Struthio camelus: one gene and its partner. Each later gene encodes a partner of the first gene's protein in a complex. Links are inferred from orthologs where the notes say so. Each region holds a gene or a part of one and is shown in the gene's direction. Other genes may lie near its edges.

Evidence for each region.
Region 2: AAR2 (region 1) and CD2BP2 share a complex: the UniProt entries of both Homo sapiens proteins name them as parts of the U5 snRNP complex. The link is inferred for Struthio camelus from reciprocal best matches to the Homo sapiens genes AAR2 and CD2BP2.

The regions. Positions count from the first base shown.
Region 1 is NC_090959.1:257,294-269,676, forward strand, and holds the start of AAR2 (protein AAR2 homolog), read left to right. Parts: upstream 1-6,931; 5' UTR 6,932-7,167; coding exon 7,168-7,924; intron 7,925-10,107; coding exon 10,108-10,337; intron 10,338-12,383. Other genes in the region: EPB41L1 (band 4.1-like protein 1), read left to right, coding at 690-806, 2,561-2,569. UniProt on the Homo sapiens protein: Component of the U5 snRNP complex that is required for spliceosome assembly and for pre-mRNA splicing.
Region 2 is NC_090973.1:154,270-166,295, reverse strand, and holds the start of CD2BP2 (CD2 antigen cytoplasmic tail-binding protein 2), read left to right. Parts: upstream 1-6,570; 5' UTR 6,571-6,736; intron 6,737-7,593; 5' UTR 7,594-7,594; coding exon 7,595-7,663; intron 7,664-8,094; coding exon 8,095-8,218; intron 8,219-8,297; coding exon 8,298-8,455; intron 8,456-11,093; coding exon 11,094-11,574; intron 11,575-12,026. Other genes in the region: TBC1 domain family member 10B-like, read left to right, coding at 506-695, 1,484-1,638, 2,429-3,874. UniProt on the Homo sapiens protein: Involved in pre-mRNA splicing as component of the U5 snRNP complex that is involved in spliceosome assembly.

The DNA.
Region 1 (12,383 bases):
TCTTTTTTACATAAGTTTCCAGTTGCCATTTCTCTGTTGAAATGCTCTGGAGTGGCCCAGGATTCTCCCTTTCTTTCCTGCAGAGCCTCACTACAGGTTGACTCAGACCAAATAGTTGTGCATTTACCTCCTTAAGAGAAGGAACAAAAAGTGACAACTTTTTATGATGAAATAACAGATTGACACAAATCTCTGGGGTTGCAGGCTCATTTTCTTGTGACCTCATCTTTTGGGATTTTTTGCTTTACCATTTTGTTAAAGGTCCAAAGTATTTAAAAAGCTATCTTGCGCAGGATCTAAAATAATTTATAGACTTTTTAGAATTATTCAGAATAATAAATTTAATTAGAATAATATTTTAGATTTTTTATAGAGTTTTTTGGCAGAGAGAACTGATGATGTTCCTTTGCTTGGGATTCATTAGTGAGCCTGGAACACTGTGCATCTCTGCCTACAAACGAGTAATCGAAGAGCAATACACAAGGCATCCCAATGCTTTTTTACAACCCCCCAGTCAGTAGTAGGCTCCAGACTTTTCTTCCAGGCCATCAAACCTGAACCTATGCATTCACATTCTTCTGGAATCCTATTCAGCTGCAGATATTTTCTATATACTGATTCTTTCTGGCAATGTTCATATCAGATTTCAGGGAAGTGAAGATAAACACTTTCATCATTCTGCTTTCTAGGCACTGGCTTTAGCAATCAAAGAGGCAAAACTACAGCATCCCGACATGCTGGTAACCAAAGCTGTGGTATACAGAGAAACAGAACCTTCTCCAGAGGAGAGGGACAAGAAACCTCAGGTAGGTAGAGAAATTACCAGGTATGATTTATACATGCTGTACAAGAGATGTATGTAGCTGTACAAGTACCTCTGTGTATCCCTTATGCCCTATGTTGTGAAACAGCTCAGTGGAGTTCTTTGCAGAAGTTCTTGGACACCAGCACAGTCCTCAATATGACAGTTAGGTGACTGCACAGGCAGAGCATCCCTCATGTCCCAGCTACAGCAGGCTTCAGCATAGCATCCCACTACAGTAGCTTGAGGGATGTGTCTGCTGGTGGGCCCTGAAGGACAGGTACCTGGGAATGGGCAAAGCAGTTCTGTAAGCACTGTTTCTGCCTCTTCCCATGCTATACTGTATGACCCAATTTCTACTCCCTGTGTTTCTGTACTGGCTTTATTGTCCTCCCAAATAAGTTCAGATTTCCTTCCAGGGAACCCTCTGTGGAGTAAAAAGAAAGAATTTATTTTCTCAGTGCATGGGCTTTATTCGCCTCTCTGCTTTAACACGCTGAGGCACATTTCTGCAATTGGCCACAATTAATTTTTGGGACTAACTCTACCAGCTGTAGGTGCTGATAGGAAGGGCTGCTCCAGGGCACTAGGAGTAGCATCTCTTGCACCAGCAATTCCAGTCCAGCCCACTATGATGGCGACCCCCCAGGTGTGGCCACCTAGTTGTGGTTAGAAAGCTGGTGGACATGCCATCAAAAGCAGTGCTCTAGTTGTCACCTTGTTGCCCTGCTCAGTAGAGGAGTCAGAATCATTTGCATGTAAAGGAGGAAGGACCTTCTCATTCCTCCAGGGTAGGGAATGACAGAGGTGATGTCTGTGTTGTGGATAGCCTGAGAAACTTGGTTACTGGTACTGCAAGGCCAATTCCACATATTAGACAAGTATTTGCCAAAATGATTTTTCTAATGGCCATTCAGGTTCCCCAGGCTGTCCCTTTATAAACATGCAGCTGTGCGTACCAGCACACAAGGTTTGCATCTCCCAGCAGATGCCCCAAAGCAGGCACATTTTCACACCCATTTTTCTCCAGGGCAAAGCTGGCTTGAGGAGGCCTGCCCCTACTCTTAACCACTTATTCTTACTTCATGCTGCTCCGTGCTACTCCCCTCAGCTGGATTGGTGCAGCTCTCTCATAGCACTGGTTTTATGTAGGGCAATGTCACAGCCCAACAGACTTTTTTATCAGAGCAACTGAGGGGCAGAGAAGCATGACAGAAAGGAGAAGGGGAGCTTCTGAAGCCAGCTTCACTACTGAAAAATGTAGAAGGAGCTATGTCCCTAGCCAGACTCCAGATGCCTCTTGGAAATGTGATTATGTGTTTCTTGATCCTATGAAGATTTTGACATGCAACTTTTAAGCTTGGAAAAGATGATCACCTCTGTTGTAGATTGGAAGGTCAGAGGAGACTGTTGCATCTGTCTAATCTCATCTCCTTCATAACAGTTACAAACAACCAAGCCCAGTTATTTCTGCATCTTTTAGGAAGCCAACCAGTTTTGATTTAATGGCTAAACATAAGGGAGACTTCAGCAGTGATTCACTGATTCCTTTCCCATACACCAGCACCAGCTCAACGAATTCAAGAGGTTTTTATAATTACCAGAGGTCGTGGTAATCAAGGGCAAAGTTGATTAGTAGCCCGAAAGTGTTTGCAGTTTTATTGTCCAGTGCCCTCATACAAACAGGAGCCCTTTTAGAGCCCAAGAAGCAACAAAGGAAGCACTCCATGACCAGTCCTTTCCATCTGCCTTGTACAGGAATCTTGACCACCATGTTCACAGAAGTTGGCATCTGTATTCAAACCTGGAGAATAGTGAAGAAGGATCCTTCATGCTGGATTTGCCAGCAAGACATAGACATCCTGGCTGCAATGTTCATGGCAAGAGACAAAAATTTTAAAAAAGGAATAGCAAATATATTATATATATATATACACATCAACACACACACACACACACACACACACACACACACACACACACACACATATATATATATATATATATAGAAAAGGAGAAACAAAATGTATCCTTGCACTGCTGCTATATGCTGGAAATGAATTACAAACAGCAACATCAACAACAAACAAAACCGACCATCTTTGCAGATAAATTGAAGAATTTACTGGATTGGTGATAAAATAAAATTAAAAAATCATTATAATAACAATAATATTGTTAACAGTAAAATAAGCCACCATCTTGCATGTTACATAAAAGGATACACAATCTTGAGTTCATTTGTTGCACACTGAATGGAAAGGAAAACTGCTTTGCAACAAAGCAAGAAATAAGCAAAATGAAACAAAAACCACAAGCAGAAGCAAAACCATTCCCCACCTCTGGAAAGAAGAGAGAAACCATTGAGTTGATTACTTTAGAGTTATTTTCCGATTTGGAACGTGTGGTTACACTCTTTTCCTCATTCCGTGCTCGTTCTTTTGCATTTTTGAGGTTCTGTTAATTCTTCCCCTTCTGTTCCTTATCTTCTTCTCTGTGCATTTGTCCAAGCTCTTGTTCTCTGAAAGTATTTAGGAATGGATTTCATTTCAAACAAAGCAAATTATATGTATATGGTTTCTCATTTATAAAATTGCAGCCTGTAGGGGTTTCATATGGATGTGCATTTAAGTTATGTATATTATTATATATAACAAGGGGGGAGGGGGGAACAATATTAAAATAATTCAACAGTGCTGGTAAATATGATGACAACATTTTTAAATTATTAACTATTTGATTGACTGTGGTTGATGTATTTTGAGACTCTTAGATCATGCTTGGGACTCTTAGCCCCGCAAGAAGAGAATAGGGATGGTTTGAGCCTCTTCTGTTTTGGAGGGGAAGGGCAGAGGGAGAAAGATGAGACACATCCCACTGGCTGATCCGTGTGGCCGCAGGAGGGCTGTTTTTGGTGCCGTGGTATATGTGGTGTGTGGAATTGGTTGGTCAACGGCAAGTTGGAGGGGCAAGGAAGGAGGGTCAGGCTGCCGTTCCTGTGGCCCAGGTGCTAGGCAGGAATGTCACCTGGCCCCAATCCAAAGACACCGGAGTCTCAGCTGGGATCAAGCTGGCAGCATGGTCTTAGCTCCTCTCCAGCCCACTGAGCCATGATGATTGTTGGGGTTGTTTTGGTTTGTTTCTGGACCCCAGTAATGAAGTTACAGAAGCTTTGTAGTAGGAAGGGTTAGAGGCAAAGAGGAGTCATTTTTTCCCTGCTTCCCCCGCAGGCCAGGTGCAATGGTGAGGGCTGCCCAGGGCACTGTGTGCTACATGATGGTGATGGCAGGAGTGATGCCAGTCCTTCCTCCATCCTTGCCTCCAGGTGCTACTGAGGGACAGGCAGTGGAGAGACCACATTGTCTCCATCACTGCACGAGTGCCCTGAGTGTACAAGCCTGGATGGCAGAGTCCAGGCCCTCCACATAAGATGGCCCATGTTGAGGAGATGTCAGTGCAGCTGCCTTTCCCACAACTCATCACAGCTCGGCCTTTAGCAACAGGCTTCCTCTGTGGCTGCCTTTAGAAGGGGATTATGGGCCAAGGCCAGGGCCTTGTACACTGTGAACCAGGCAGTTAGGGTGGACTTGGAACCAAAATCAGGAAGGAAAAGAAATAAATGGGTTTCCTTTTTGGAATTATCCCTACCTCCTGCAGAAGCAGAAGGGCCCACAATTCTGCACCATTTTGCCTTTAGTCCTCCACGCCTCACGCAGACTGTGCCCAGAATAGGTGCATTTTATCAGTTCCAGCAATGGATCTGAGGATAATACTAAACAAGAAGAATTTAAGCCATTATGGGGGTATACTTCGCTCACTGAGTTTCCTTAGGAGAGAGCCTGGTCTCTGGCAGTCTTGGTCTGCCAGTTACTTGCTATTATGTCCCCATGAAGTCTGTTCTCCTTATGGCATATAAGATTCTTCTACAAGCATTAAAGACAGGCTTCTTCAGAAGTGAATAGACGTGCTGGCTAATGCCAATGAAGATCATTTCAGGTTTCTAATGAGTTCAGTCATGTAGTCTCCCCCCAGATTCTGCCTGAGTGCTTTCAGTTGCTTGTAACTTGCTGCTTTTAGAGACCAGACCCCAAACCAGAAAGAGTTAAGGCAATTGTAGAGAGAATTGCGTTTTTTCTCTTTTATTTTTAAATACACCCAAAACAGCTGCAAAAAGCAGTCACACTTTCTGAAAGAGATACCAATTGAGAGAGGACCTGTTCTCAGTGCCTGTACAGGGCATTCAGCCCATCTTGCCCATTAGCAATGGTCCACACATCACGTTGGTTGTTTTTCAGCACGCTTTGTATTTCAAATCCAAAGGAGGCTCTCTGTGGATTTGGTACTGTTACAACTGAACTACAGGCTACTTTGAAACTGGATACCTGGTTTTGAAATCACACATGTGGTTATAAAATCTAAGGTAACTGTTAACATTAGTAGCCTTAGACAATTATAGAATTGATGTGAAATTAGACTCAAACTATTTACATTTAGAGTTAAGAAAAAAAACCCAGTAAGTGGATCCAGTTTCCTTGCTTCCACAGCTTGTTTAATGGGTGACAACATTTAAAAATAAAAAAAAAAGAAAAAAGTTTGTTTCTTGTTCATCTGGGAAAGTGTGGGATTCTGCTGTTTAGTAGTGACTAACATCCCTTATGGGCCTGGCTCTCTCCCAGCCTGCCCTTCACATTACTGCCATTTCAGAGAGCTAATCACCATTTGTTTTCTTCCAAGGGCCTTTGTGTTGAAAGGGGTGGGAGAACTGAGTGCCTGTTTTTACCTGATCCTACAAATTCATTCCAAACCTGGCCTGCAACTGCATGAGTAATAATGACAATAACAATAATAATATTTATTTTTATTTGAAAAGCACCTTACCAACCAACTGCAATGCTCTGTTGTTCCTTCACTAACTCTCCTTTTCTCTTCCCTTGTTCTTCTTCTCCCTCCTGCCTTCAGTCATATTCCTTTTCAGTGCTTGGTGGTGTATGCGTGTGTGCTCACTGTTCTTGTATTCAATAAAAGTGAAATAAATGTGTTTGATGCTGAACCAGCTTGTGGCATGAAGTGGACTCTTTCCCGCAAAGAGAATGGACAGATTAAGGTAGGGGCCTTGGGACCAGGGTCTCTGTCTGTTAAAATATTGGACTCTTCCCTGTGTCGTCCTAGAAAATGAAGCAGATGCCAGTTATGGGTATGGCACACTGCTGGGGAGAAGGATGGAAGAAAGCTGTGTATTTTTCACACTGTATCTACTAACCATCATCTGTTTGCCTGAGGCAGCAAACTCAGGACTGCCAGTAGGTAGATTATGAAGGTGTTCAAAATACACAGAGACTAGGGCTGCATTTGTCCCTGACTTTTGTCTTTGGATCCTGGTAGGATTCTGGGCCTTGCAGACCAGGTAGGAGGGAGGTGATGGCTCCTGCTGCTGGGTGCCTGTGACACCCAAGTGAGAGATGTCCTTTTGTTACTGTGCTGCCACGTGACATTTCTGCAGGTGTGGGGTGAAAAACAATCTCTTTGTCTAACAGAAGCTCAGATTTTGCAGGGATAAAAGCTAAGATTTTTCAAAGATGCTGCCAAGCTGCATCCCCACCACCTGGGGCTTGACCTGCCCCTGCCCCTGCAGGCAGGATTAGGCTGGGGCTAGAGGAGAGGGACTGACAGCTGTGGGGGTCTGTGGAGCCGAGGGGAAGCATTGCCAGCTGTGGGGCCCGTGGGGCTGAGGGGAGGGACTGCCAGCCATGGGGTGTTGGGGGGCCAAGGGAGGGACTGCCAGCTGTGGGGTGTTATGGGACCGAGGGGAGGGACTGCCAGAAGTGGGGGTCTGTGGGGCCGAGGAGAGAGGCTGCCAGCTGTGGGGAGCCCGGTAGTAGGAACCAAGGGGAGCGACTTCCCGCGGTGGGGGGCTGTGGGGCAGCGGGCAGGGACGGGCTCCTAGGGCGTCCCTCCGCTGCCCAAACGGGGCCCCGCGCGCCGCAGCGGCTACCCCGGGGGCCTGGCTGGGCGGCGGTGGGACTCGCTCTGGCTGCCGCCGGGCGGGAAGCAGCCGCCGCGCCCGGAACGGGAGCGCCGCGGCGGCGGGGCGGCCCGGACGCTCTTCGGGGAAGGCGCGGTGGGCGGGGCGGGGCGGCGGCGGGTGCAGGCGCTCCGGGGACGGGGGAGGTGAGGCGCGGCGGCAGCGGGGCTTCGGGAGGTCGCGCGGCCGGAGCGCTGCGGGCCGGTAGCGCGCTTGGGCCTGGTTGCGGCGGTCGCGACCTGCGGGCCGGGTGAGACTAGGCCAAGCCTGCCCGAGCGGTTCCCAGGTGGCCTGGGGACCCGTGTGTCTGCGCTTGTCCCCTGCTGTGCTCCCGCCGGGCTCCATGGCGGCAGTGCAGCTGGACCCCGAGTTGGCCAAGAGGCTCTTCTTTGAAGGCGCCACGGTCGTCATCCTGAACGTGCCCGAGGGCACCGAGTTCGGCATTGACTACAACACCTGGGACGTCGGCCCCCGCTTCCGCGGAGTCAAGATGATCCCTCCAGGCATCCATTTCCTCCACTACAGCTCTGTCAGGGGAGCTAGTAGCCGGGAAACAGGGCCGCGCACAGGTTTCTTCCTAAGCCTGCAGCAGCGAGACTTGCGGGTGCTGCGCTGGAACCCCACCAACGAGGAAGTGGATCTTACGCCAGCAGTCCAGGAGGAGACTGAAGCCATGAGAGGAAATCTGCAGGAGATGGACAAGTTTCTTGGGCCCTATCCGTATGAGACCCTGAAAAAATGGATTTCCCTCACCAACTTCATCAATGAGTCGATGATGAAGAAGCTGCAACCAGAGAGTGGGCAGATCTGTGCCTTTTCAGAAGTTCTCCCTGTGCTGGCTGGGAAGCACACCAAAGACCGTGCTGAACAGAACTTGCCCCCTTATGACACAGAATGCAAGAGCTATGCTGAAGGTATGGCACGGCTGCCCAAGATGAAACTGAAAGCTGGCACTGAGATCAGATTCACAGAGCTGCCAAAGCAGATGTACCCCGATGGTGCTACTCCTGAGGAGATAACCAGGCATAGCATGGACCTTAGCTATGCTCTAGAAAAAGTGATTGATCAGCAGTACTCCAGCCAACCTCAGGATTTGCTTGGTGAGTACATAGTATCCCAGTTGTAGAGTCCTTATTCACTTTGAAAGAATTAAGTTTTTGGCTGTAAAGCAAGAGTCCTCAGGTGAAACCTGCAGTTCTGTTGACCTTAAAGGCTCAGGGCATAAGTGTGCTCTTATAATTGTGACTATACAAAACAGTTTATACAAGCTACAAAGTCTGAGTAGCTATAGGGTCTATTCCAGTTGCCCTGATGCAAGAATCTGGACACTCTTTTGCTCAATATCTAGAGTGACTAGCCTGCCTCACTAGCCACTTTTGTTCCTGGCTGCTGCAGTAACATGTTTGGAACCCAAATTGCCTCAGATTAATTCAAAAGCATAAATCCCAGTTTATGAACTGAGATGTGTTTGTGAATTCACCCTTGTGCATGGAAGGCACATCACGTTGCGTCTAATGCAAGTACATTTTTTTCTGTGGTGCCATCCTGATGATTTATCTATCAAGTGATCCTCTAAGGACAGAGTTTAGGGAGTCCTGAGACCACTGAATGGGATGGGACATCTTAATCTTTAGATTCTTGTTCCCTTTTTGCCAGCAACTCAACTTTTGGCTTTTGGGGTGAGTTGTTTTGCCTTTTAGGCCTCCAATTCACTTTGTATAGTTTAGGGATAATGATGCTTCTGTGCCTTGTGGATTTTTATTTTTTAGGCTTGATGTTTTCAAAGAAGGTCTCAAAGGTTTGCAAAGTAATTTACAGCAGGTGAAGAATGAGCTGTGCACTAGAGAGGCAGCTCTCCTTCTTAAATGTCTCTGGCTGTCCGTTTTACCCTCTTTCTGGCTGTCCGTTTTACCCTCTTTGTTCTATTCAGTACAGTCTATTTCCTTCAAACCCTTCTGCTCGCCCACCTTATAATTTGGTCCTACTCTGCTCATCCTCACTGATGGCTTTTCAGTAAACTGAGTAACCAAAAATGATTCTTTTACTAAATGCTACTTTGACTGTTGGTGAATACAACTGTCATGGAAGAGTTGATCTTTGTGGGGAGGGAGCAGCCTGTGCAGATAGCAGTGAAAGTACTAACTATAGCTAGAACAGAATGGATAATTCTAAATATAAGCTGTCAATGAAGTGTACAGATGCCAGTCAGTTAAGTGAGTTTTAGTACTCTGATAGTACATTTCCCAGCAGTCAGTTCCTAACACAGTAACTAATCAGCAGGATGGGCCTTTCCTTCTACTCTGGTTAGAGGCGGAGGAAGGTGGGAAGTCTCTGCTGTGGGCTGCTGGCGACCCTCTGTGGTAGCATTTGGGATTTGTGAGCTCTACTGCAGGAGGGCGAAACATGCAGTGTTCATGGGCACACTGTGAACTGCATCTCTCAGTTACAGGGTCTTAATTACTTGCCAGCCTCATTTAACAGCTTGTGATACAAATTAGTAACAGCTCTGTGAAGATCCTTGAATGCATTTTCCGTGTGGCAGGATGGAGTGAGGACTTGGGAAACTAGCTGATCTAGAGCCTCAAGGTTACTGAGGTTTGGAATAAGCCTTTATTTTCCCCTTTTTTCTTTATTAACTTTATACAATTTATTCTTTATCAAAAGTATTCTAGGAGATGCAAAGACTAATTACCGTAAGGGTGTGTAAGGTTCCCTAGTGCCTTGGGGAATGGTGAGGCCATCATTCTGGCAAAACAGCTGATGCTGAGCATCAAGTGAGATTGAACCCTGACTCTTAATTCAGTGAAGGAAAAACAACCATTATGTACTGCTCACCTCGTTCTTTGTTCCCACACCCCTCTGTTCAAGGGCAATCTGATTTTGGAAACTCAGGCATAAAAGGAGCTTTCAGAATAACAGCTTTATTTTCTCATTTGGACATCATAGAAGATTTTGAGAATGCAGGCAAGTCCTGAGGTAGCTATATGCTCTGATTGCCAGTAAAGTCACTCTCCAAAGTTGACCATTATAGTTTTAAGGGGTCCTGCCTGATCGTGCTATGCTTGTTCTCCAGCTGAATAGCAGAGCATTAGGAAATAGTCAGTGCTTGGAGTATTGATTGCTATTATCAGAGTCACTGGGAGGATAGGGTACTGTTCATGTGTAAAAGGCAATCCCAGAGTTTATACAGTCATTTTCAGAGCTTTCAAGAGGACATGTACCTTGGATGTGTTTCTAGTCTCATGTGTACTTTGTTTTCCTTTCCTTTGCTAAATGTGTGCAGCTGAGTTGCAATTTGCTTTCATCTGCTTCCTGATTGGGAATGTGTATGATGCATTCGAGCACTGGAAAAGACTCTTAAATATCCTGTGTCGATCTGAAGATGCCATAGGGAAGTATCAAGACCTTTACACCAATCTCATTTCTGTGCTGTATCACCAGCTCAATGAAATCCCAGCTGATTTCTTTGTGGACATTGTCTCCCAGGACAACTTTTTAACCAGCACCTTACAGGTATGTTTGTGGCTGTCACTGTGGGTGACTTAAAAAAAAAAAAAAAAAAAAAAAAAAAAAAAAAAAAGTGGGGGGGGGAGTAGGAGGAGAGGGCATACAGGACATCAGAGCAAATTTTCAAAAGGAAGTAAGCTGCTATTGATCTGCATAGGAGACAGTGAGTCTATGTGTTCTAAGAATGCTCATATTTTCTTTTATTTTTTTCCCCCACGTTCTTTACACAGAAATACTGCTTGCTTGTCCTGAGTTTTATCTGCTAAAGTTATGCCCAGAAGAGTCTAATGCAGCATAAATTTAAGTTAGTCTCTATAGAAAGGCCAGCAAAGTGAGACAATGAGAGGAAAGACTAATGAAAATATAAATAGCTGCAATATGGAATGGAGGCTCTGTCTTTTTTTTTTTAGTATGATTTCCTGGCAAATAATGCTGAAAGTAGACTATCACATTGACATGGCATGGATCTGTTCTAGAGTTCTGGAATAGTGTATGTAACGCAATTGAATTGCACCAGCATACCTTTTCTAAAAATGTCTAAGGTCTTAGGCTACATAAACAGCTATGGGAGAGGCTGAGCAAGTGCAAGGCAAGGTCTTTTTATGTGTTTTTTCCAAATGCCATTCATTCTATATGTATGTATATGTGTGTATATATATTTGTGTGTGCCATAAAAGACTGGCAATATTGACTTTGGTCAGCTTGAATGGTATGATATTTTGTATGCAGAGAAGTTTCAGTGAAACCTTTTTGAGCTTAGGGTGTTGATAGTATGTTAAAAGCTTTTCCATTCCTGTTAGCCTTATGTAAAGCTAAAGATTTCCCAGAATCACGTTCTTATCTAGAGGGAATTTACAGGTAGTCCAGAATGTAGAAAATACACTGCTTATGCTGAGATAGGTGTGGCAAATATTTATAATTCAGTACTAGTAAGACCAGTTACTCCCACTCACTGAAATTATGCTAACAGCTCAGCAAATAGACAAGTCTTATAGCTAAGCCAAATTCAGTTAAAAATAAAAACAGATATACCCATATAACTCAGCAATGGAAACTTAATCCCAGCATGAAATGTAGTAAGTTATGTTGCAGTGTTTGGTGTAAATTGTATATTGCAATCTCCTTTCTCAAAAACAGTGATTACCTGTAATTCCAAGTTGCTGCTGTAGATCTTTGTTTGTTTGTTTGTTTTTTAAACTCACTGGGTAAAATTAGGTGGGAAGCATTGCTTTAATCAAGTGAATGACTTTACTTGACCGTTATCTGGGCTTTTTCAGATTTGATTCACAAAACTCTTGATTTTTTCATTTTTGTTTCCCCCCCGCCCCCCCACATCCCATTTTGGGATTGGAAAATCCAGCTCTATTTTTAGCACGCTGGCAGAGCAACGCTTTGCCCTATCAAATTACAACAGTACAAAAGAATGTGTCAACCAGCCACTCTTTCCATCTGATGGAAATTTTGGAAGCACCTTTGTCTCTCTGATTATCTTACCTTTTTGGGCAACTAAGCCTTGTGTGCTCTTGGAGTTCATCAGTCTTTATCTTTTATTTATGCAATAGAGGCTGATGCCTTTAGTGTGGCTGTGTTGGTTTCACTGATCACCACTAACCGCAGTGGGGGTCACTGCATTCCCAGCAACATAGAAGAAATTTATGGTTTAAATAGGCCTCTCCTTGCTAAAAGTTCTCCTGTTCTCTGCACCAGTGGGATTTCCCTGATTGTTGCTTTGTGTATGACCATTTCAAAACAAACTTTGCTTTTCCTTTTCAGTATTTTCTCCAGCTGTCAGTAGACTTCTACCAAATACAAGCTTGCTTTGTCCCAAAGGGGTTTCCCTTCACTTCAGTCCTGCAATGAATTTTTCTTTGGCTTTGAAACATAAATTTCTTTCTATGGAAATGAATTTTGGGTCACAAGTTCAGTACACTAGCAGAAGCAGGCAGGTGAGAGATGGGCTCTGAGGCTAAATGCCCTGTTTAATCAGACATGGATGCTTTAATTCTCCAAAATGCAAACAGGAAGCTATGAATTTGTGAAAAGTTAATGGAT
Region 2 (12,026 bases), on another chromosome or scaffold:
CGGGGCGCTGCTGCGGCGGGCGCTGCCGTGGGGCGTCGTGCACGGCCGTGGGGCACCGTGCACGGCCATGGGGCGCCGTGGGGCGCCGTGCACGGCCGTGGGGCGCCGTGGGGCGCACTGACCCCCCCCGTCCCCCCCCCCCGGTGCAGGAGGCGGTGCAGCTGGACGGGGAGGTGTTCGGGGCGCTGCTGCGGCGGGCGCTGCCGTGGGGCGTCGTGCATGGCCGTGGGGCACCGTGCACGGCCGTGGGGCACCGTGGGGCACCGTGCACGGCCGTGGGGCACCGTGCATGGCCGTGGGGCGCCGTGGGGCGCACTGACCCCCCCCCGTCCCCCCCCCGGGTGCAGGAGGCGGTGCAGCTGGACGGGGAGGTGTTCGGGGCGCTGCTGCGGCGGGCGCTGCCGTGGGGCGTCGTGCATGGCCGTGGGGCGCCGTGGGGCGTCGTGCACGGCCGTGGGGCGCCATGGGGCGCACTGACCCCCCCCCCGTCCCCCCCCCGGTGCAGGAGGCGGTGCAGCTGGACGGGGAGGTGTTCGGGGCGCTGCTGCGGCGGGCGGCCCCCGCGGCCCACCGGCACCTGCGGCGCTGGCGCGTGGAGCCCGTCCTCTACCTGACCGAGTGGTTCATGTGCATCTTCGCCCGCAGCCTGCCCTGGGCCGCCGTCCTGCGCGTCTGGGACATGTTCTTCTGCGAGGGTGCGGGGGCGCGCGCGGGGGGGACACGCGGGGGCGGGCGCCCGTGCACGGTGCTGCCCGGCCCCGGCGCGGGCGCGTGGTGCACGGGTGACGCGCGTGCACTCCGTCCGTGTGCCGTGCGCGGGGCAGTGAGGCGTGTGCATGATGTGTGCGTGCCGTGTGCGTGGGGCCGTGACGGCTGTGCGTGGCGTGTGCACAGCTGAAGATCATACGTGCAGGGCGGTGACGCATGTGCAGGCATGTCCGTGGCGTGTGCATCCCGGGTGGGTGCCATGTGCGGGGGGTGATGCGTGTGCAAGTGTGTGCAGGCGTGTGCAGGCGTGTGCGGTGCCGCATGCGTGGTGATGCATGTGCAGGCGTGTGCAGGCGTGTGCATGCAGGTGTGCGCGGTGACGGGTGCACAGGCGTGTGCAGGCGTGTGCAGGCATGTGCATGCAGGCGTGCGCAGTGACGCGTGTCCGTGGCATGTGCAGGTGTGTGCAGGCATGCGTGGTGACGCGTGTGCAGGCGTGTGCAGGCGTGCGCGGTGATGTGTGTGCAGGCGTGTGCAGGTGTGTGCAGGCGTGTGCAGGCGTGTGCATGCAGGCGTGCGTGGTGACGGGTGCACAGGCATGTGCAGGCGTGTGCAGGTGTGTGCATGCAGGCGTGCGCGGTGACGCGTGTGCAGGCGTGCGCAGGCGTGCGTGGTGACGCGTGTGCAGGCGTGCGTGGTGACGTGTGCAGGCGTGCGCAGGCGTGTGCATGCAGGCGTGCGCGGTGACGCGTGTGCGTGTCCGTGGCGTGCGCAGGCGTGAAGGTCATGTTCCGCGTGGGGCTGGTGCTGCTGCGCCGGGCGCTGGGCTCCCCCCAGCAGCTCCGCGGCTGCCAGGGGATGTACGAGACCATGGAGCGGCTGCGGGGGCTGCTGGCCGCCGGCCTGCCCGAGGACGCCCTGGTGCACGAGGTGGGCGCGGGGGGGGCGCGGGGGGGCGCGGGGGCGCGGGGGGCCACAGGCGTGGGGAGCCGTGGGGCAGCAGGCGTGGGGAGCCGTGGGGCAGCAGGCGTGGGGCGGCGTGGGGCCGTGGGGCAGCGTGGAGCCGTGGGGCGGCGTGGGGGGCCGTGGGGGGGTGTGGGGCCGCAGGCGTGGGGCCGTGGGGCAGCGTGGAGCCGTGGGGCGGCGTGGGGCCACAGCCGTGGGGCGGTGTGGGGCGGCATGGGGCCGTGGGGAGCCGTGGGGCCGCAGGCGTGGGGAACCGTGGGGTGGCGTGGGGGTGTGGGGCCGCAGCCGTGGTGCTGTGGGGCGGCGTGGGGCCATGGGGCGGTGTGGGGCGGCAGGCGTGGGGCGGCGTGGAGCTGTGGGGCAGCGCGGGGAGCCGTGGGGTGGCGCGGGGCGGCAGGCGTGGGGCCGTGGGGCGGCGTGGGGCAGTGTGGGGCAGCAGCTGTGGGGCGGCGCGGGGCGGTGGGGAGCCGTGGGGAGCCGTGGGGCGGCGTGGGGCGGCGCGGGGCGGCGCAGGGAGCCGTGGGGAGCCGTGGGGCGGCGTGGGGCGGCGCGGGGAGCCGTGGGGCGGCGCGGGGAGCCGTGGGGAGCCATGGGGCGGCAGGCGTGGGGCCGTGGGGAGCCGTGGGGCAGCGCGGGGCGGCGCGGGGAGCCGTGGGGAGCCGTGGGGAGCCGTGGGGAGCCGTGGGGCGGCAGGCGTGGGGCGGTGGGGCGGCGCGGGGCGGCGCGGGGACGCCGAGGTGCCGGCGGGCCGCAGGCGACGTCGCTGCCGGTGACGGAGGCGCTGATCGAGCGGGAGAGCGGGGCGCAGCTGCGGCGCTGGCGGGAGACGCGGGGCGAGCTGCAGCGCCCGCCGCCCCGGCGCCTGCACGGGGCCCGCGCCATCCTGGAGGAGCGGCAGCGCCGGGGGGGCCCCCCCGCCGCCCCCCCCCGCCGGGAGCCGGCGCCCGGCACGGAGGGGCGCCCGGAGCAGAGGCACCGGCTGGAGGCGCGCAAGGAGGGGTTGCACGAAGGGCAGACGTGCAAGGAGCGGTTGCACGAGGTGGAGACGTGCAAGGAGCGGTTGCACGAAGGGCAGACGTGCAAGGAGCAGTTGCACGAGGCGGAGGCGTGCAAGGAGCGGTTGCACGAGGCGGAGACGTGCAAGGAGCAGTTGCACGAGGTGGAGACGTGCAAGGAGCAGTTGCACGAGGTGGAGACGTGCAAGGAGCGGCTGCACGAGGCGGAGGCGTGCAAGGAGCGGTTGCACGAAGGGCAGACGTGCAAGGAGCAGTTGTACAAGGTGGAGACGTGCAAGGAGTGGTTGCACGAAGGGCAGACGTGCAAGGAGCAGTTGTACAAGGTGGAGACGTGCAAGGAGTGGTTGCATGAGGCGGAGACGTGCAAGGAGCAGTTGCACGAGGCGGAGACGTGCAAGGAGCAGTTGCACGAAGGGCAGACGTGCAAGGAGTGGCTGCACGAGGTGGAGACGTGCAAGGAGCAGTTGCACGAGGCGGAGACGTGCAAGGAGCAGTTGTACAAGGTGGAGACGTGCAAGGAGCGGTTGCACGAGGCGGAGACGTGCAAGGAGCGGTTGCACGAGGTGGAGACGTGCAAGGAGCAGTTGCACAAGGTGGAGACGTGCAAGGAGCAGTTGCACGAGGTGGAGATGTGCCAGGAGCGGTTGCACGAAGGAGAAGAGTGCAATGAACAATTGCACAAAGTGGAGGAGCGCCAGGAGCAATTGCACAAGACAGAAGAGCGCCAGGAGCGGCTGCACGAGGCGGAGACGTGCAAGGAGCAGTTGCACGACAAGCAGACGTGCCAGGAGCGGTTGCGCGAAGGAGAAGAGTGCGATGAACAATTGCAGGCAGCGCAGGAGCCCCAGGAGCAGCTGCCCAAAGCAGGGGAGCGCAACGAGCGCTTGCACAAGACAGAAGAGCGCCAGGAGCGGTTGCACGAGGCGGAGACGTGCAAGGAGCGGTTGCACGGGCCGGAGGGGCCCCAGGAGCGGCAGCGGGCGGCGCAGGGGTCCCGGCAGCGGCCGGCGGCCAGGGGGCTGCTGGAGAAGTGCCGGCAGCGGCTGCAGGGCAAGGGGGCGGCAGCGGCCCCCGAGAAGGCGCCATCGAAGCGGCCGGCGCGGAAGGCGGCGGCGGCGGCAGCGGCGGCACCAGGGGCGGCCGGGGACCGGGACCCCCCCGGGCGGCAGGACGCCTACTTCTGAGCCAGGTGGGAGTTGCCTCCGTCCGTCCCTCCATCCGTCCATCCCTCCCTCCATCCCTTCGTCCGTCCCTCCATCCATCCGTCCGTCCATCCCTCCGTCCCTCCCTCCATCCCTCCATCCATTCCTCCGTCCGTCCCTCCGTCCATCCCTCCCTCCATCCCTCCATCCATTCCTCCCTCCGTCCCTCCCTCCATCCCTCCATCCATCCGTCCGTCCATCCCTCCGTCCATCCCTCCGTCCATCCATCACTCTGCCCCTCCATCCCTCCATCCCTCCGTCCCTCCCTCCATCCCTCCATCCATTCCTCCCTCCGTCCGTCCATCCCTCCCTCCATCGCTCCAGCCGTCCCTCCATCTGTCCATCCCTCCGTCCCTCCGTCCGTCCATCCCTCCGTCCATCCCTCCCTCCAGACGCCCCCGGGATGGACGGCTCGGTTTGATCGGCAGCTGCCTTTGATTGACAGCTTGCTTTGATCGGCAGCTCTGGTTGACTGACAACTGCCTTTGATTGGCGGCTCCCTTCATTGGCAGCTGCCTTTGATTAATGATTCCCGCTGATTGACAGCTGCTTTTCACTGCTGGCTCCATTTGATTGACAGCTGCCATTGATTGACAGCCGCTGTGGGTGGCAGTTACCTTTGATTGACAGCTGCCTTTGATTGACAGTTGCGTGTGGTTGGCTGCCACCTTTGATTAGTGGATTGCATTGATTGACAGCTGCCTTTGATTGGCAGCTGCCGTTCATGCATGTGACCGCCGGCTTCGGAGTGACGCCCTGCCCAGCCTTTGATTGACACCCTCATTGGATTGATGGCTCCCTTTGATTGACAGGCCACCCCACCTTTGATTGACAGCTCCCCTTGATTGACAGCTCCCCATCCATCAACTCGCCGGCCTGCCTCCGGTTGACGGCTCCTGCGATTGATTGACAGCTCCTGGGATTGATCGATGGCTCCTGGGATTGATCGATGGCTCCTGGGATTGACCGCTCCTGCGATTGATTGACAGCTCCTGCGATTGATTGACAGCTCCTGGGATTGATCGATGGCTCCTGGGATTGATCGATGGCTCCTGGGATTGACCGCTCCTGTGATTGATTGATGGCTCCTGTGATAGACAGCTCCTGTGATTGATTGACAGCTCCTATGATTGACACTCCGGGCCCGGTGCCCCCCTCCCCCCCCGGGGCTGCCCGGACGCCTGGGCCCCCTCCTCCCCCCCCCCAGCGCTTATTTAACGGGACGACACTGGACCCCCCCCCCCCCGGACGCCCCTCGTTAGCGGCGGGTCGTTAGCGCCCCCCGTTCCGGGGGGGCTGCGGCTTTGTGGCTTCGTTTGAAGGAAAAAACAGCGAGACGGGGTTAACGAGGAGCCCCCAAACGAGCGGCCCGGCCCCGAGTCGTCCTTGGGGGCTGCGGGGGCGGTTTGGGGGGGCAGGAGCGGGGGGGGCTGAGGGAAACGGGGGATTTGGGGGGGGAAGGGGCGTTTTGGGGGGTCCCAGGCGGTTCGGGGGGGCAGGAGTGGGGGGGGCTGAGGGAAACGGGAGATTTGGGGGGGAAAGGGGTGTTTTGGGGGGTCCCAGGCGGTTCGGGGGGGCAGGAGCGGGGAGGGCTGAGGGAAACGGGAGATTTGGGGGGAAAGGGGCGTTTTGGGGGGTCCCAGGCGGTTCGGGGGGGCAGGAGCGGGGGGGGCTGAGGGAAACGGGGGATTTGGGGGGGAAAGGGGCGTTTTGGGGGGTCCCAGGCGGTTCGGGGGGGCAGGAGCGGGGGGGGCTGAGGGAAACGGGGGATTTGGGGGGGGAAGGGGCGTTTTGGGGGGTCCCAGGCGGTTCGGGGGGGCAGGAGTGGGGGGGGCTGAGGGAAACGGGAGATTTGGGGGGGAAAGGGGTGTTTTGGGGGGTCCCAGGCGGTTCGGGGGGGCAGGAGCGGGGAGGGCTGAGGGAAACGGGAGATTTGGGGGGGAAAGGGGCGTTTTGGGGGGTCCCAGGCGGTTCGGGGGGGCAGGAGCGGGGGGGGCTGAGGGAAACGGGGGATTTGGGGGGGAAAGGGGCGTTTTGGGGGGTCCCAGGCGGTTCGGGGGGGCAGGAGCGGGGGGGGCTGAGGGAAACGGGGGATTTGGGGGGGGAAGGGGCGTTTTGGGGGGTCCCAGGCGGTTCGGGGGGGCAGGAGCGGGGGGGGCTGAGGGAAACGGGGGATTTGGGGGGGGAAGGGGCGTTTTGGGGGGTCCCAGGCGGTTCGGGGGGGCAGGAGCGGGGGGGGCTGAGGGAAACGAGGGATTTGGGGGGGGAAGGGGCGTTTTGGGGGGTCCCAGGCGGTTCGGGGGGGCAGGAGCGGGGGGGGCTGAGGGAAACGAGGGATTTGGGGGGGGAAGGGGCGTTTTGGGGGGTCCCAGGCGGTTCGGGGGGGCAGGAGTGGGGGGGGCTGAGGGAAACGGGAGATTTGGGGGGGAAAGGGGTGTTTTGGGGGGTCCCAGGCGGTTCGGGGGGGCAGGAGCGGGGGGGGCTGAGGGAAACGGGGGATTTGGGGGGGGGGAAGGGTGGGTTTGGGGGTCTCCCAGGCGGTTTGGGGTGGTTTCAGGAGGAAATGGAGGGCTGGGGGTGGCTCGGGGTGTTGAGGGGGGTTTGGGGGGGGAAGGGAGTTTTGGGGGATCCCGGGGGAAATGGGGGTCACGTGGGGCTGGGGGGGCAGGGCCAGGGTGGGTGGGGGAGGAAATGGGGTCGCGGCCCCTTTAAGAGCTGCCCACACTGCCCGCCGGCGCTGAAGCCGCAGTCCTGCCCGGGCCGTGACGCCACTTCCGCCCTGCCGCCCGCCCTGCCCCGGAAGTGCTTCCGTCGCGGTAGCGCAGCCACCGGCGGGGCCGCGGGGTGAGCGGCCCGCGCGCGCCTTACCGGGGGTGGGGGGGTGGGGGGGGTTCATTTACATATTCAAATGAGGCACCCCGCGGCGCCCCTGGGAGCCGCCCCCTGGGGGGCGGTTTTGGGGGGGTTTGGGGCAGTTTAGGGGGCGGCCCAGAGCCCGGGGGGAGCCGGGACCCCACGGCCGAGTCGGGGAGCTTCGAGGGGTCCCCGTGGGCGGCGGCGGGTGGCGAGCGCCGCCAGTCGCCGTGGCCTGGGGGCGGGGGGGAGGGGCTTTAGTATGGGCGTGGCGAGCGCGGCTCATTTGCATATGCAAATAGGAGGTGTGTTAACGGGGGGTTAATGGGGGGGGACGATGGGGTTAAGAGCGGGCTGGTGGGGGCCTTAATGGGGGGGGGGTCAAGGGGGCTGTTAACGGGGGTTATTGGGGGCAGTTAATGAGCTGCTGGGGATTAACGGGCCTTAATGGGGCAAACGGGGGCTACTGGGGGGGAATGGGGAGCTAATGAGGGCCAGGGGGCAGTTAACGGGGGCTGCTACTGGGGGGTCACTGGGAGTCACTGGGAGCTGTTAGTGGGGGTTACTGGGGGCTGGTAATGGGGGTCACTGGGGGCTGGTAGTGGGGTGGTTACTGGGGGTCACTGGGGGCTGGTAGGGGGGGTCACTGGGGGTGACTGGGGGCTGGTAGTGGGGGGTTACTGGGGGTCACTGGGGGCTGGTAGTGGGGGGTTACTGGGGGTGACTGGGGGCTGGTAGGGGGGTCACTGGGGGCTGGTGGCGGAGGCTGTTCGTGGGGCTAACGAGGGGCCACGGGGGCGTCGCTAACGAGGGGCCGTTAACGGAGCTGCGTGCCCCCCCCCCCCCAGCATGGCCAAGCGCAAGGTGACGTTCGAGGACCCCGAGGACGAGGAGGAGCCGGGGCCCCCCCGCAAGAGGGTGAGGGGCTGGGGGGCACCGGGGGGGGCCAGGGGCTGCTGGGGGGCACCAGGGGGCTAGTGGGGGCGGCTGGGGGGCACCGAGGGGCAGCTGTGGGGCGCTGGGGGGCAGCCGAACCTGGGGACTGTGCAGGCCCCAGGACCCCTGGGTGAGCTGTGGGGCAGCTGGAGGGTGCCGGGGGGCTGGAGCTGGGGGTTGTGGGGGCCCCAGGGGCTGGGGGGCTGCCGTGGGGGGGGCGTGGGTCGCCGTGGGTCACGGTGGGGCTGACCCACACGGGGGGCGGGGGCCGTGGGTCATGGCGGGGGTCACGGTGGGGCTGACCCACGCAGGAGGCGGGGGCTGTGGGGGGCCGGGGGTCACGGTGGGGCTGACCCACGCAGGAGGCGGGGGCCGTGGGGGGCCGGGGGTCACGGTGGGGCTGACCCACGCAGGAGGCGGGGGCCGTGGGGGGCCCCGGGAGCCGGTTCCCGGGGAAGCACTCGCTGGACAGCGACGAGGAGGACGAGGCCGAAGGCAGCAGCAAGTACGACGTGCTGGCGCCCCACGACGTGGAGGGTGAGCGGGGCGCCGGGGGTCGCCGTGGGGCGGCGGGGGGTGGCCGGGGGTCGCCGTGGGGCGCTGACCCCCGTCTCAGGGCAGGAGGCGGCGACGCTGGAGGCCGAGGGCGGGGTGCCCGTCACCCCCTTCAACCTGCAGGAGGAGATGGCCGAGGGGCACTTCGACTCCGAGGGCAACTACTTCCCGCGGCGCGAGAAGCTGCTCCGGGACAGCTGGCTGGACAACATCGACTGGGTGAGGGGGGACACGGGGACCTGGGGGACACCAGGGACGGGCTGGAGAACCTCGATGGGACATGGGGACACAGCAGGGTGCAGGGACATGGGGGACACCAGGGACAGGCTGGAGAACCTCAATGGGACATGGGGACACAGTGGGATGCAGGGACATGGGGGAACACCAAGGACAGGCTGGAGCACCTCAATGGGACGTGGGGGACATGGTGGAGGATGCCAGGGATAGCTTGGAGCATCTCAATGGGACGTGGGGGACATAGTGGAGGACATGGGGACAGGCTGGAGCACCTCAATGGGACGTAGGGGACACAGGGGACGGGCTGGAGCACATTAATGGGACGTGGGGGACATGGTGGGGGACACCGGGGACGGGCTGGAGCACCTCAACGGGACGTGGGGGACACCAAGGACAGGCTGGAGCACCTCAATGGGACATGGGGGACGTGGTGGAGGACATGGGGACAGGCTGGAGCACCTCAACGGGACGTGGGGGACGTGGTGGAGGACATGGGGACAGGCTGGAGCACCCCAACGGGACGTGGGGGACACCAAGGACAGGCTGGAGCACCTCAATGGGACATGGGGGACATGGTGGGGGACACCGGGGACGGGCTGGAGCACCTCAACGGGACGTGGGGGACATGGTGGAGGACATGGGGACAGGCTGGAGCACCTCAACGGGACGTGGGGGACACCAACGACAGGCTGGAGCACCTCAATGGGACGTGGGGGACATGGTGGAGGACACCGGGGACGGGCTGGAACACCTCAATGGGACGTGGGGGACATGGTGGGGGACACCGGGGGACGGGCTGGAGCACCTCAACGGGATGTGGGGGACATGGTGGAGGACACTGGGGACGGGCTGGAGCACCTCAATGGGACGTGGGGGACATGGTGGGGGACACCGGGGGACGGGCTGGAGCACCTCAACGGGACGTGGGGGACATGGTGGAGGACATGGGGACAGGCTGGAGCACCTCAATGGGATGTGGGGGACACCGGGGACGGGCTGGAGCACCTCAACGGGACGTGGGGGACGTGGTGGAGGACACCGGGGACGGGCTGGAGCACCTCAACGGGACGTGGGGGACATGGTGGAGGACACCGGGGACGGGCTGGAGCACCTCAACGGGATGTGGGGGACATGGTGGGGGACACCGGGGGATGGGCTGGAGCACCTCAACGGGACATGGGGGACATAGTGGAGGACATGGGGACGGGCTGGAGCACCTCAAGGGGACGTAGGGGACACCGGGGACGGGCTGGAGCACCTCAACGGGACATGAGGGACATAGTGGAGGACATGGGGACAGGCTGGAGCACCTCAACGGGATTTGGGGGACACCAAGGACAGGCTGGAGCACCTCAATGGGACGTGGGGGACATGGTGGAGGACACCGGGGACGGGCTGGAGCACCTCAATGGGACGTGGGGGACGTGGTGGGGGACACCGGGGACGGGCTGGAGCACCTCAACGGGACGTGGGGGACATAGTGGAGGACATGAGGACAGGCTGGAGCACCTCAACGGGACGTAGGGGACACAGGGGACGGGCTGGAGCACCTCAATGGGACGTGGGGGACATGGTGGGGGACACCGGGGACGGGCTGGAGCACCTCAACGGGATGTGGGGGACACCGGGGACAGGCTGGAGCACCTCAACGGGACGTGGGGGACATAGTGGAGGACATGGGGACAGGGGACAGGCTGGAGCACCTCAACGGGATGTGGGGGACACCGGGGACGGGCTGGAGCACCTCAACGGGACGTGGGGGACGTGGTGGAGGACATGGGGACAGGCTGGAGCACCTCAATGGGATGTGGGGGACATAGTGGAGGACATGGGGACAGGGGACAGGCTGGAGCACCTCAACGGGATGTGGGGGACACCGGGGACGGGCTGGAGCACCTCAACGGGACGTGGGGGACGTGGTGGAGGACATCGGGGACGGGCTGGAGCACCTCAACGGGACGTGGGGGACATGGTGGGGGACACCGGGGACGGGCTGGAGCACCTCAACGGGATGTGGGGGACACCGGGGACGGGCTGGAGCACCTCAACGGGATGTGGGGGACATGGTGGAGGACACTGGGGACGGGCTGGAGCACCTCAATGGGACGTGGGGGACATGGTGGGGGACACCGGGGGATGGGCTGGAGCACCTCAACGGGACATGGGGGACATAGTGGAGGACATGGGGACAGGCTGGAGCACCTCAATGGGATGTGGGGGACACCGGGGGACGGGCTGGAGCACCTCAACGGGACATGGGGGACGTGGTGGGGGACACCAGGGACGGGCTGGAGCACCTCAACGGGACGTGGGGGACATGGTGGAGGACATGGGGACAGGCTGGAGCACCTCAATGGGATGTGGGGGACACCGGGGGACGGGCTGGAGCACCTCAACGGGACATGGGGGACGTGGTGGGGGACACCAGGGACGGGCTGGAGCACCTCAACGGGACGTGGGGGACATGGTGGAGGACATGGGGACAGGCTGGAGCACCTCAATGGGATGTGGGGGACATAGTGGAGGACATGGGGACACCGGGGGACGGGCTGGAGCACCTCAACCGTTCGCGACCGCCCGGCTGAGGCGCGCGGCCACCCTCACCCGCCGCCGCCGGCAGGTGAAGATCGCCGAGCGCCCGGCGCGTCCCCGGCCGGCGGGTGACGACGAGGACGAGGAGCCGCCGCCGCCGCCGCCGCAGCCGGAGCTGCTGCAGGGCGCGCTGGAGCTGCTGCGCCCGGGCGAGACGGTGGCCGGGGCCCTGCGGCGCCTGGGGGGCCGGCGGCGGCGGCGGCGGCCGGGCCGGGGGGGGCCGGCGGCGGAGCCCCCCGGGGACGACGGGGACGGGGACGGCGGGCGGCTGGAGCGGCTGGTGGAGGTGGCCGACGGGCTGGTGGCCCGCGGGCTCCTGGGCGTCTACCAGGAGACGCGGGAGCGGCTGGCCCGGCGGCTGCGCGCCCTGGGGGGGGCCCCGGGGACCCCCCCGGCCCCCGGCGACGCCCCCCCCGCCGCCCCCGGCGACGCCCCCCCCGCCGCCGCCGCCCCCCTCGACATCTTCGCCCCCAACGTCGACCCCGAGCGGCTGGAGGCTCCGGCCGAGGGTGAGTGGGGGGGTCTGGGGGGGTCCGTGGGGCTGGGGGGGCTGGGGGAGCCCCCTATGGGGGGCTGGGGGAGCCCCAGCATGGGGGTCTGGGGGGGTCCGTGGGGCTGGGGAACCCCCTATGGGGGGCTGGGGGAGCCCCAGCATGGGGGTCTGGGGGGGGTCCGTGGGGCTGGGGGGGCTGTGGGAGCCCCCTATGGGGGGCTGGGGGGTCCGTGGAGCTGGGGGAGCCCCAGCATGGGGGTCTGGGGGGGTTTGTGGGGCTGGGGGGGTCTGTGGGGCTGGGGAACCCCCCTATGGGGGGCTGGGGGGGCCCCAGCATGGGGGTCTGGGGGGGGCCCATGGAGCTGGGGGAGCCCCCACGTGGGGGGCTGGGGGGGGGCTGGGGGTCTAGGGTTCGGGGGGAGTCCGTGGGGCTGGGGAACCCCCCCATGGGGTGCTGGGGGGGGTCTA